2 linked regions of the Caenorhabditis elegans genome follow. The protein of the gene in region 1 purifies or fractionates together with the protein of each later gene. This does not show direct contact. Each region holds a gene or a part of one and is shown on either strand. Other genes may lie near its edges.

Region 1 (4,810 bases):
CCGTTATTTTCTTATTCAATTCAAAAAAGAAAGTGTAACAGGATGGGAGGAGTGTCTTTGAATGTTCTAAACCACTTTTCTCTACTCTTTTTTTTCGACACTGCTCTCGCCAATATTTGAAATTGAAAAAGTTGATTCTATTGAAAGCTTCCCCCATTTTTTTTCTTCCTATTTCGCGTTTTTGGTGTTAAAAAATTGTTGTAGGAATTTTTGAAAGTGATGGGAGATTAGTGTCAGCTTTTGCAGAAAAATTTGCATGGATATTTCTTGTAATTTACGATTCTTCCTATTTTGCATTAATGAAAACATTGAATACCAACTTTAAAATTCTCAAAAAATTACGGCCCTCCTTTATTTCCTCTCCCTCCCTCTCGAAAATCTCTCTTATCACCCGTAAAATATTTTCGGCTAATGCTGGATTACAACGCAATTTTCCAATTTTTATCTGTTTTATTTCCATTTAACGATGATGATCATCGTTGTATTTGAATAATTTGTTTCGGTTTTTGTAACCAGTTCCTCCGCCACCGCCACCAATTTTCCTTTCTTTTTTCCTATTTTTTCTCTTTCTCCCCCATTTTTGTGTCACTCACCACTGTTTTTTGTGTGTTTCTATTTTATTTTGGTGTCGTTTTCTTTGTTTTTTTTCTGGAATTTTATTTCTTTTCCAATGTTTCATAGCTGAAAATTGACGGAAAAAGTTTTCCCTTCACATTTTCAAAAACAATGTTACAGGTTTATCCATTGGAAACTTTTTCAACTTTGTTAAAACCCAGTTTTTAGAAGGTCTTTTAATATTTACAGACAATAACTTTAGCCAAAATAAATTAGACTTATCGTGGCGAGACCAGCTTTCCTACAATAGAAAATTTTAATGTTAAAGATACTTTTCAAGTTTCCGAAAATTACTGAGTTTTCAAACAAAAAAATTGCGTCACTCCAGGAGATTCTCTTTAAAGATTCTCTAAAAAAAGTTGTAATATTTGCAAATACCATTACGAAATCCATATATTATGTTGTTTATCACTTTCTTTGATTTTTGGAATTTTACTTTGGAGGTTGCGAAACTTAAGTTTCTGAACCAACTGAAGTAATAGTTAGTTTCTCCTAATTAGATTATCTTATCAGAAAAATTTCTCAATTAGGGATTTTTAAACTACAAGTTAGAAGTTACTCAAAATATTCATTAGGTTCTTCTAACCTGTGTATTATTCTATGTAAGCATTCTTTAATGGAAAGTTTCCTATCCGAAATTTGTTTTTATATTCAAGGCGTTTAGACTTGCAGGAAAGCTCAGCATTCCTTAAAATGTTTAAATTTGAAACATGTGGCGATTGTCCGAGAGATTTACTAATTTGTACCTACCGTATTTTTAAACTGGCACTTCATTACTAAACATTGGCAATTATTAGATTTTTCAAAAATATTAGTTAACTTTTTTTCTATAGGGGGGTGTAAACTTTTTTTTTAATTTCCACAGAGATTTACAACTGTAGAACCATTTTTTTTTAAGATCCAAAAAGTTAGGTCTTTCAATTTTTCATTTTATGATTCTCTCGGTTCTCCCGAAAAATTGCCAAACTTAATAAATTTCAAAAAGTCTGAAACTTTATTTTAAATTTTCTTATATTTGTAAATTTTACAGTTTTGACATTTAAAACGGGTCAAAAATTTTAAAATGTTGACAATACTCGATTTTATGTTTACCTTTCATACTTCTTCGATTCATTCAACTCATACTATTTACGCACTTTTTTCCAATTTTTTATATGTTTTCTCATTCACACTTTAATCAAATCTTGTCTTCCAGATATGCAAAGATGATAGTAGATTGTGACGATTGTGGCAAACAAATCGATTTAAATCAGTCATCAATTTCCAAGCCTTCTTCGTCAAATTCTTCGGACCATATTGTTGAATTATGGTGGTGTAGGGATTGTATATCGACTGTTTGCAAGTGAGTTTTATTTTTTATTTTTTATTTAAATTTTAAATTTCAAATTTCATTTACATATACCGGTATCAAGTATGATGTTTGCAAATTGATAGCAAATGTGGGAACAGTGGGGATTTGAAAAAAAAACAGGGGAAAATCTAAACGAGAGACTCTGGAGTGGAAGCATTGGCAGACATGATAAGACATGATACCCAGTAGATAACATTGAAAGCGAGAAAGGCAAGTGGGACGACAAATCTGGCATAGAAATCAATTTTTGCCGGTAGATAATCTGGTTTTGTGAAGTAACGGCGGACTTTGTCACGGAATGTCTCGCGGGCTTCGAACTGAAAAATTGACTTTTTTTCGCATATTTTTCTAACATATTTATGAGTATTTTTTGCAAGATTATTCCGGAATAGCGACTTTTACATAGGTTACTACACTTAAAAAAATAGCTACATACAATAACTTTTAAATGGAAAAAAGTCGACGTTTTGTGTTTTTAGTGGTATCATGCTGGAAGCTTTTTGGAAGCTGTTTGCATTTTGAATTCTTTCAATATTTGAGATCGTTTCAAAAAGTTGAATCTTTTTATTTGTCACCCAGTGAATTTATACAAAAAGTTTTTTTGTTGAATTTTTCAATAACATTGGCGAATTCCAGGACCAAAACTTTTTGATGATTGTTAAAATTCAAGGCTTAACCTACAGTATGACAGGTGCACGGTGGCTGATAGACTTCTGCATCCACCATTTCCAACTTTTCTCTCCTTCTCTGCGCCTTCCTTGCAGCTTTCTCTCTTGACCTGTCATTTTGCCGGACACTATCTTGATAACTGACAAATGCGTATTCCAGAAGTGCTCCGAATACAAATGTTTGGCACGCTGGAAGTTTCTTTGATTGTTAGATATATTAAAGGAGTTACTCACCTCCAAGCCAGACATCCACAACTTTTACGTAGCTAACTGGTGGAAGCTTGGCGTTGATTGCAGATTGCTGAAAGTTCTTTGTTGAAGTGCACAAATTATTTTTCAGTCCCTTACCATTGTAGTCATTGTAAGAAGCGTAGTGACTCCTAAAGCGACACGTCCAGCAGTTGAATGAAGATCAATCCAAAATGAAACCCATGAGACAATCACAATCATAGTGGTTGGAGCATACAGTTGTACCAAGTAATAACTGAATTGCCGTTTGAACAAAAGTTGCATTCGGAGACATCCATATGATCCTGTAAGAAATCTGGATTTAGTTCTTTATATAGGTTCTTCTCATCTTTTTGGAAAACCCCACAACTAAATTTAGCAACAATTTTTTAAACCCCCTATTTTCTATCGGAACTTGATTTCTGATTATTAATGTTTTCCCAATTTATTTGCAACAAAATTTGCCAAACTTCCCAACGGGCTTTTCTGCTCAAACCCCCAAAATACACTTCTTTCCGTGAAATCATTTGTTCAACTTTTTTCCCTTCATTTTCCCACGTCACAACAGCTATAAAATCCTCTCAAAAAGTGCAAAATCTGTTGACAAAAGCTCATATCTCTTCTCTCCCCCAATCGCCTCAAGAAGTTGCAAAAAATTTGTCTACCTGTGTTCGTGTGGCTTGTGCAATCTGCATTTGTTGTGTAGTTTTTGAGTATAAAATTGGGAAGATCCGAGCCAACGCCGGGTTTCAGTTGAACTGGTGTTGATGGATCCCACTCGTACATGATATCATTCATTGTGTGCGCGTAGCTGACAAGATCAAAGTTACACGATTGATAGTCGAGTGGGTAGAGTTGGAGACGCATTGGGCAGGAACTTGTCAAACTTATCCGGGAACTGTAGAGGATCTGAAAATTAAGGAAAAATTAGTAAATTAGAACCTGTTTTATAAAATTTTGGAAGTCAGATCTATCAAGATAAAAATCCACCGCAGATTTTGGCTCTAAAATTTTTTTACTTTGATTTTTTGAATGCGGAATTTTTCCGTTTAATTTTCAAAATCTTGTCCAGATGTGCGTTTCATTAGACATGTCATTTGATCAAGAAACTTCTTCCAAAATTGGGAATACTGGCAGTTTTCTATGCTACAAAAACAATAGGCATTTTTCAACATTTCCTTCATTTCCAGATAAAATTTCTTCAACTTAAAGTTTTCAAAAACTCACTTTTCCATCCGGATATATCCTCAAGAACATGTTTTCCATATCAATCAAATGTCTATGAGCTGCTTTTTCGGTCTGAAAATTCCAATTTTAACTTTAAAGTGAATATCAAACTAACGGGAAAGAATGTGTCAGGAATCCATAGACTCTTTTTAACATGTGGGACTGTGAGAAATGCCGGAGGATTGTAGAAACCCAAATTTTCATAGGCCAGTCGAGGATCTATCCATTGCTCGCGGAATGTTAGTTGAATTGAATATTCCTGAAACTTAGGAGTGAAGAAAGGATTTTTGTATGAACTGGAATTCGATTTTTTGTCTCCTATGATTATTATTGATATTAGCAATTTTTTCTGCTCCAGAACAAATTTCAAATTTTGGTGCTTTTTTAAAATGGAAATTGAACTGCCAAAAAAAATTATAAACACCTGTGAGAAATAATTTTTTTTGGTATTTTTTTGGTACTGTGATTTTTTAGGAAATTTTTTAATGTTATTTTTATTTAAATTAACATTTTTATTCCGAATCCAACTTACCATATTAACTACATCAATTTTCGATAGCATCCGAATCATAATATTAACACGAACATTGACAGCACCTTCCGTTGATGAGTTGGCCGGTGGTGGCCGTACCCGCATGTCATAATTTTTGAGCAACGCATTGAGAATCTCCTGCTCCGATTGCATACTGTACTCGCCATTTGTGACGACGGGCATCAGTAG
Region 2 (8,050 bases), on another chromosome or scaffold:
GAAATTATTAAATTAATAAAAAATATTTGAAAAAAAGACTATACTTTTCTGCCGGGGACATGAATGCAAGTGCAGCAACACACGCGGTTGTGAAGAAATATGAGACTTCTTCTAATACCTATAAAATCATTAAATTAATATACATAGTACATTGCCGACCATCGAATAATCTCTTCGCTATCGGTTTTGCTTGAGCTGTTAAAATATGTGTAACTACTATAATAGTTCGCAAAATACGTTTGCTAACAAAATGGTGCTAATTACTTGGACTACATATATTTGTGATTACGTCCGAATCACTTAACTGGTAATCTACATACAGTTTACACGGTGACCGGGAAAAGTTGTACAAAAATTGAACATAAGCCTCAAATTTCAGCTCTTATAGAATTTGAACAAAAGAAGAAAAAACCTTAAAACCAAAAACGAATAGAATTTTGGCCCCTACTGTCTCATGGCTTTGGAACTTACGTACCGAAGAAGTGTTCTGCTGTTCCGAAGAGTTCAAACTAATGTCGGTAGGGGAAGTCTCCGAAGGTGGTGTTGAGTTTGTCGGAACGAATACTTCTGCACAAATGCTAGAATCGCTGGATTCGGGTGTCAAATCAATAATGTTTTGACAAGTTTCCAAATTGGATCTTGATAAATTATTTCTAAACGGCTCGCGATCTGCATTAGTTTCTGAAAGAAGTATAATAGGAAACCTTTTAAAACGCTACAAGCTACCCAAATGTGTATTTTCTCTTAACACGTCACACATCTTTTCTTCGAAAACTTCATTCAAAGAAACTCTGAAAAAAAATTTTATTCAGATTTTCAAGATCAAAGTAAAATTACCTGTTTTCTGAGGAACTGGACTGAAGTTCAGATATTGGTTTGTGTGAAGTTGATTGGCTCAAATCCTCCAGTTTTGGCGACAAGAATAACTTTGGGATATCTGGGAAAGAATCGAAATGCTCACATACTGCTGTTTCAATTGAATCGGGAAAATGTGCGGGTACCAGACACGCTTCGAGAACTGCATCGGAGACTAGATCATGCATCATTCTATTCAAAAATTGTTTAACCACAGCTTTGTCGGTATCTAGCGTAGTGCAACATCTCTCAACATTCCTTAATTTTTCATATCTTAATCATACCACAGTTATATCAAAAACTACCTTGATTGATCGCAAAATGAAGTATCGGTACAATCTTCGACGTTTTCTTTTTCCGTGACTGCTGATGCTGTTTTATCAGCAATATACTCGGTATAAAATGTATCCTCAATGATTTTACAAGACTGATTTCTGGCGAGGGGTATCATTCTGTGACAGATCAGCTTGGAAGCTTCTTGGACAGCAGCTTGAATTTGATCAGACAAAAGATGATCAACCAATGAGGCGAGATTATTTTGCATTTCCGAAATTTTGATGCAACTTGAATCAGGCAACGGAACTTCGAAGTTGGCATAGAATAGATCCATTTCAGCAATTTCACTTTTGTATTCCGAGTTGGAATCTTTTATAATGTTTATACCACTTTCGTTTTCATTGAGATTTTTTGCCATTTTTCTGAAAATATCTTTTTTTGAGGAATATGGAAATACTGGAAATACCCCGTAGCCTAGAAAAATCAAAAACTCGGGCAATTATTTATCTATGATTTTTTACGGTACATATTTTTGAAACTTAACGAGAATAGTCTTGGAAAGGGTGTCCTTTGATTCTACCGTGAGTTATGAGGGTGGCTGAGTTTTCTCATTTCACGGCAACTTAGTAAAAACCGCTTTGTGGTTTTTTTCGCATGATTAAATTTACAATATATTGTAGCATAGTTTTTTCCCCAATAATTATACCGCGTACCTCGTACTGTCTGGATTTTCCTTGAGCATTGTATCAGTTTCGCAATACTTTCTCTCACATGCATCCTCGAAATGATGATCGAGTTTGTCAATGTCCTCGGATTGCTCAGTTGATTTTGAACTCGTTTCAGTGCTGCCTATGTTGTTCGTTTGTCCGCAGGCTTCTTGTATGTTGTCCAGATTGAAAACTACCAATTGTTGATCATATTCTAACTGATTTTCCGCATTTTCGAAATTATCTGCTGTGCTGATTTCTAGCAGGCACGCCATTGAATTGGGATCTTGCTCTGATCTTTCTAACTTGACTTCTTCTAGACCTTGATTTTCGGAAGAATGCTCACACGTTTGAGAGCGCCGGTCTTGAATTTTTTCCTTGAAACTTCGTGGTTCGAGAACATCCATTGAATTGGACATACCACACTTTGCTAAAGATTTACTATTTTCAAACGTTTTTGTCGCTTTCTTGTTGTCACCCTCAGAATCTCCAGTGGCCTCTTTTCTTTCCGGCAATTCTGATGCTATTAATTCATGTTCTATGTTAAAGTCAAGACTGATTGTGTTTTGTGGAAAATCTTCAGTCGGCCCAGCATCACTTGAGTTTTCGGACAAACCGTGTAGCCAATTCAAAAAGTGGTTCAGCCCAACTTCAATGTCCCAGGTTTCTTCTATACTCAGCGGAACACAAGATTGCAAATCGTTATCGTTCGTATTTGAAGTGGAAAAGCTGGATGTAACCGATATACTGTCCTCTGCATCATTTGTTTGTTCTTGTCGTTCCAGAAAGTTGATTTGATCTTGCAAAAAATGGTGGACGTCCTTATTGATAAAAATTTTTGAGTGTTGAGTTTGGCTTCTCCCACTTCTCATTGTAACATTATTTAAATTATTCAGAAGAACATTTTCGTCTCCAATTCGATTTTCATCGACTTTCCTAGAGATAATTGGTGGAAGAGCCTGAAAGGTAACATGACAAAGCATATCTGGGACAACAGTGATAACAATATCATCAACAACGAGTTCTGAGTAACTTGATGCTTTGCTCAAAATGTTGTTTGAAATTTCAACAATTTCCAAATTGTTATTTATTGAGCTGAGCACATGGTTTTGGATGTTTTCGTGATAACAACTATCAATGACATTGATGGTTAACGAGTTCTCTTGTAAAAATTCCGTGTTGATTAAAACCTTTGAATTGACCGTCTTTAGAGTAGTATCCATACTGATAGAAAGGGAACACTGAACTTCATCGAATACAGATACGGATGGTGTGGCTTCTTCAGGTGTGAACGTTTCAGTATCGCTTTGGTCTTCTATTTCCGGCAACACATCTACAGTAATCTCAATTGGTACTTGCAGAAGTTCAACCACGTCGAAGATTTCTTGAGAAGTTGCAGAGTTCAATGTTGCATTAGAATCAGTATTGTTGGATACTTCGACCAGGATGCTCTCCAAAACAGAAGCAACTTCAATATGGTTTTTCAAGTGAACAAGTTTTCCGCTATATTCAGCTTGTTTATCGATGCAATGTTGTTTGCTCTTTCCCAATTCTGGTGAAATATCAAAAACTGTTTCGGGAGTGATAGCGTTTGAATGTGCACAATGCTCTTTCTGTGACGTATCCTCACAATCAACATCACATGTTATTTCCTTCCAGTTGCTAGTAAACGGTGTGACGTCAGAGTTTTCAGAAAGATTAATGTTTGAAGGTGCAGTGGATCTAGAAGTGCTTTCCATGATCTGAACTTGAACAATTTCCTCTCCATTCAATTTTGGCCGATCTTCAGCGATGTCTTCGATCGGTTCAAATGTGATGTTCATATTTGATTGGTCTGATAAAATTTCAGAAGTTGATGTGTCTACTTGAAATTCAAAATCGGTTTCTGGTTGCGTATTCGAATTGAGTAAAACCGGTGGAAGATTTTCTTCTTGGAGATTTGGAGCATACTCAGAACAAACACTGTCTTCTGAAAAGAAACAACTAACATCTGGAGTTTTTGGTATTCCCGGTTGGTTGATTTCAAGCTCAGACGTTAATGTACGAAAAAAATGATTTCCAGTAGACTCTTGATCGGCGGCTTTCTCTCTACTGTAGTCTTCACCATTTGCTGACAATTTTTCAAAAACTTTCTCTTTTTCAGTAGCCGAGGGTTTAACAGTTTCATTCAACAAAGTAGAACTTTTCCATTTATCAACTGACGTTTTTCGTGGAGCCAATCTTCTCAGCATCAGTCGAGGATCTAGAACTTATATTATTTTATTTCAAAAAATTGTTTTTCAAACCTTCTTCTATCTGGTCAGCTTTCGAAGCATATGTCAGCAACTGTAGATCCAGACTGACGAGCTCGGAAGTTTTCGCTTTAAAAAACAAATTACCAAACATTTATGAATTTTGACCCAGGACTTATTGCACCGCTCATATTATAAAAAATGGTTATAAGCCAGACCATGTGGTGTCAGAGTCTTCCATTACGGGCTGATCTACAAAAAATTGCGGGAGTATTTTTTGCCCGAAAAATGTGACGTCAGTTGAGCAATCTGCGTCTGTTCTCCCGCATTTTTTTGTAGATCTACATAGATCAGGCCGAAAAGAGGCAATCTGACACCACGTGCAAGACATTTATTACCTTGTGAGGCTTCTTCTCTGTGTGACTGTTGAAATTCTCGAGACACGGACATTACCATTTGAACGTAATCTTGAATCATATTCACAAGTACACTGCCGTTTTCAGGTGTGTCAGGAGAACTTGTCTCAGAATCTTCATTGTCAGATTCTTGTTGCGGGAAAGAAGTACTACTTTGATTTTGATCAGTTTCATGAGGAAGATAAGCACTGGACGGTTCTGGTACTGATTGTAAAGAATAATCAAAATTAGCCTCGTCTTCTTGTTTTTCCGATTCCATTTTCACATTTGGTGGGAGAATAGGCTGTTTTGAAAATAGTGATGGAAGTTGAAATGTGGGCAGCTGCACCCAGGAAATGTTTTCATCTGATTTTTCAAGCACAGCTGAATGAAAATGTGGTTGTTCAGAAATTGTTTGATCCTGGAGATGACAAACATTTCTTTCTTCAGATCTACTGTGTCTGTCTTTTGAAAATTCAATTTGTCTCTTCACAATTCCCACAATCCTGTTCACTTTATCATCGGATATGGAACAATTGTCTTCAATTGAATCATCATCACCCAACTCTTCAAAAACCGATCCCGTCTCCTCCAAAACGCTCGCGAATTCTTCCATTACTGCAAAATCTTCATCTACCACGTCACTCAGACTTTCAGCGTCTTCAAATCCAACATGCTCTTCTGAAAAGTCGTCGACACAGGCAAAACACAAATGTTGGTCGATAATGTGGAAGTTGTTTTGATCATCTGGAGGTTGAGACAACTGTAGACATTCTTGATCTAGAAAATTTGAGTATTTAGTTGTTTTTTGAATGTTTTTATTTTGGTTTACAAAATTGTTTTACAATTAGTGCTGGTCATAAAGGCATGCAACTTCACAGCACATTCTTGCAAGAGCTTTTGTGCATATCTTTATCACCAGCAATGTATATTTTAACTCACTTGTGGAAAATGTTTTTGAGCTTCCCAGATGAGCATCACACATCTTATTGCGTAATTTTGATGGGCTCACGTTGTCCGATGGCTCTAGAAACAATTATTTTAAAAAATGCTCAAAAAATTGAATTGACGAACGTTTTACAAGATGAAAGCAGTGAGTGAGAGGTAACACTCGACAAGTCTCCGGCTGAGTGAGTACGTGTTCTTCTGCATAATACGTTTTTGTTGCAACCGTTTTTGTTTCAGACGGTATTGCAAAAAGATTAATGCCGTAGTCTGACGTATTTCCCAACTCATAAACCAGAGTTTTGCCGTCCCGTGTGCGATAATGAATTGAGTGTCTAATTGGGTCACAATTGTTTTCTGAAACAATTTTCATTACATTTCTGGTTTTATTTTCCAACTTACTTGGTTTCATTTTTTCCGAATATTGTTTGTCACCAAAAATAATTCTTCTCAATTCAGCCAAATAGTTGAAATATTCGTCACACTGGCGAGAAGTATACACATAGTTTAGTTTCGTACAAAATTCGGATTGATGATATCTAACTCTACTCTGAAATGTGTATACATTGTATAAATTTAAAGTATTAGAAAAAATATAAATATACCTTGATGTGTTGGTCACAGTCAGAATTCATGTGCTCAACATTCAAGTTATCATCTGGAAAATTAGAATAAATGTGATCTGATTTTTTTTGTATTTTTAAATTCGATAGAATTTGATTTGGTCTATAGATATAGTTTAATAAGTATCTCAAAATGTTCGCAATAAATGAAATTCCATAATGTGAATAACTATTCCTATTTTATTATTAAGTTTATAAAAAGTTTTTCTACAAGGATGAGTATGTGCTCAAATTAACAAATTTCGTGATAAAACTTCGCAAAAAATTGAACTATTATTCTTTTTGCATTTATAAATAATTTATAAACAAAACATTTATAAACATTTATAAATAACGAAATGATGTGACCTAAAATTAACCAATTGTTTTCGAAATGTTGGACCGCCATAAATAATTTTGAAATGTTTTAAAGAAGTTTAATTTTATTCGAAATTTGTTCATTTGAACCCATTTTGGGCTTATTCGTTTATTATATCTAAAACCGATACTCCTCTTTTAAGCCTAAAATAAAAAATTCACGTTTTATTTTTGATAAACTACAAAATAAAATTGAAGTACAGCTACTACAATCGAATCATATTAAATTAGTATTCCACAAAAACAAAGCAAATAATGTTAATTTGCAGTCGAGTGCTCAAGAAACAGAAAAAAAACGAAATGTAATGCTCGCCGATACCAATGAAAAACTTGCATTATCAGCAGTTACAACTGCTGCTCTATGCCTTTTTCCAGTGATGTATGACTTGATGATAAAAGTGGTTTGGAATGTATACATTTCATCAGAACTGTGAAAAAAGGAGCATCGAGTAGATTGACAGATGGAGAACAAAATGTAAAACACCGTGTAATGCCAAAAATGCGCTCACTTGGCAGGAATCGTAAAAAATATTAGGGAGGAATAAGTTCCGGGTCGTCACTTTTTTTGTAGTTTTCTTCGCAATTTAATATGTAAGGAAATAGTGCACAATTTTTTTGAAAAGTTGTTACGGTGGACTTTGATAATTTCAGCACAATAGAAGCAGTTTTGAACAGTTTCCCCAGTGGTGGCGACACTCCACTTATAGAGGTTAAATTTTGCCAGGTAACATGTTAAAACAATAAAAAACTTTATTTAAAAAATTTTAAAAAAATTTATTTAGAAGTTTCAGAAGGATTTAATTTTCGAATATGTAGTATAAACTAAATTGTACAGTTTTCAACACAAAGATTTTCACACTCAATTGGGATTGCACAGCAGAATCAAATTAATTGGAAGAAAATAGAAAAAGGGCTGACCAGTGTTCAAAATTATCACATCAGGGGAAAAAAATCAGACAGGTTGTATACTAATAGATAGATTGACAGGAAAGAGTGGGAAGTAATAAAAGTAGTCTGTTATGATTGAGTGATCATACGCAATCGCTCACAATGAGCACCAGCAATTTCTGCTAATGCACCAGCAAGGTGTACATGATCGAATTCAGAAAGATTCGATAAAACACTTCTTTCAGAAAACTCGTGCAACGTGCCGTTCTCGTCATTGTCAATATCGGTCATGTCGAGTCGAGGTATACTGAAACGACGTGTGTCATTAAAAGTGCAGTAGAGTCGTTTTGGAATTTTGCTTTAAATGACAGAAAATAAACACTAATAACCTAATGTAACTGTTAAATATTTTTTTAATTGTTTAATTCTTCTAAACGATATTTTATGGGTTTTTGTCTTTTTAGTCTTCTTAACGAAAAAATGCGAAAGAAAAAAAAGAAAAAAAAAACTCAAAAATACGCGGGAATTCAAATTTAATTCTGCCGGTTTCCGCCAAAATAAAATAAAAAATTATGGTCTATTTTCTCTGATTTAAAGCAAAATTTCAAAACGACTCTACTTCACCTTTGAACAAAAACAAACAATATCAAAATGTTCACTTTAATGGTGGAAGGCTCTCATAGTCCGGCTGAATTTTTAAATGTCCAACACGTTGCTCCAAATCACCCAAATGTTCTTGCAGTTTCTCATTGTTCATTCTGAAAATTTTGGTA

Evidence for each region.
Region 2: the proteins of F25F8.1 (region 1) and Y102A11A.3 fractionate together in Caenorhabditis elegans (co-fractionation; one large-scale study listed by BioGRID). This does not show direct contact.

What each region holds. Positions count from the first base shown.
Region 1 is NC_003279.8:4,883,093-4,887,902, forward strand, and holds the start of F25F8.1 (B box-type domain-containing protein), read left to right. Parts: upstream 1-1,810; 5' UTR 1,811-1,820; coding exon 1,821-1,957; exon of another isoform or gene 1,958-2,094; coding exon of another isoform or gene 2,095-2,283; intron 2,284-2,647; coding exon of another isoform or gene 2,648-2,823; intron 2,824-2,868; coding exon of another isoform or gene 2,869-2,935; intron 2,936-2,982; coding exon of another isoform or gene 2,983-3,167; intron 3,168-3,527; coding exon of another isoform or gene 3,528-3,771; intron 3,772-4,089; coding exon of another isoform or gene 4,090-4,161; intron 4,162-4,204; coding exon of another isoform or gene 4,205-4,348; intron 4,349-4,621; coding exon of another isoform or gene 4,622-4,810. Other genes in the region: glc-2 (Glutamate-gated chloride channel subunit beta), read right to left, coding at 2,095-2,283, 2,648-2,823, 2,869-2,935, 2,983-3,167, 3,528-3,771, 4,090-4,161, 4,205-4,348, 4,622-4,810.
Region 2 is NC_003284.9:2,017,165-2,025,214, reverse strand, and holds the start of Y102A11A.3 (Protein unc-13 homolog A), read right to left. Parts: upstream 6,068-8,050; 5' UTR 6,045-6,067; coding exon 6,015-6,044; intron 5,960-6,014; coding exon 5,812-5,959; intron 5,767-5,811; coding exon 5,539-5,766; intron 5,491-5,538; coding exon 5,407-5,490; intron 5,245-5,406; coding exon 4,468-5,244; intron 4,199-4,467; coding exon 4,124-4,198; intron 4,081-4,123; coding exon 1,845-4,080; intron 1,554-1,844; coding exon 1,161-1,553; intron 1,114-1,160; coding exon 838-1,113; intron 792-837; coding exon 727-791; intron 682-726; coding exon 476-681; intron 119-475; coding exon 45-118; intron 1-44. Other genes in the region: Y102A11A.9 (Lebercilin domain-containing protein), read right to left, coding at 7,407-7,584, 7,937-8,035.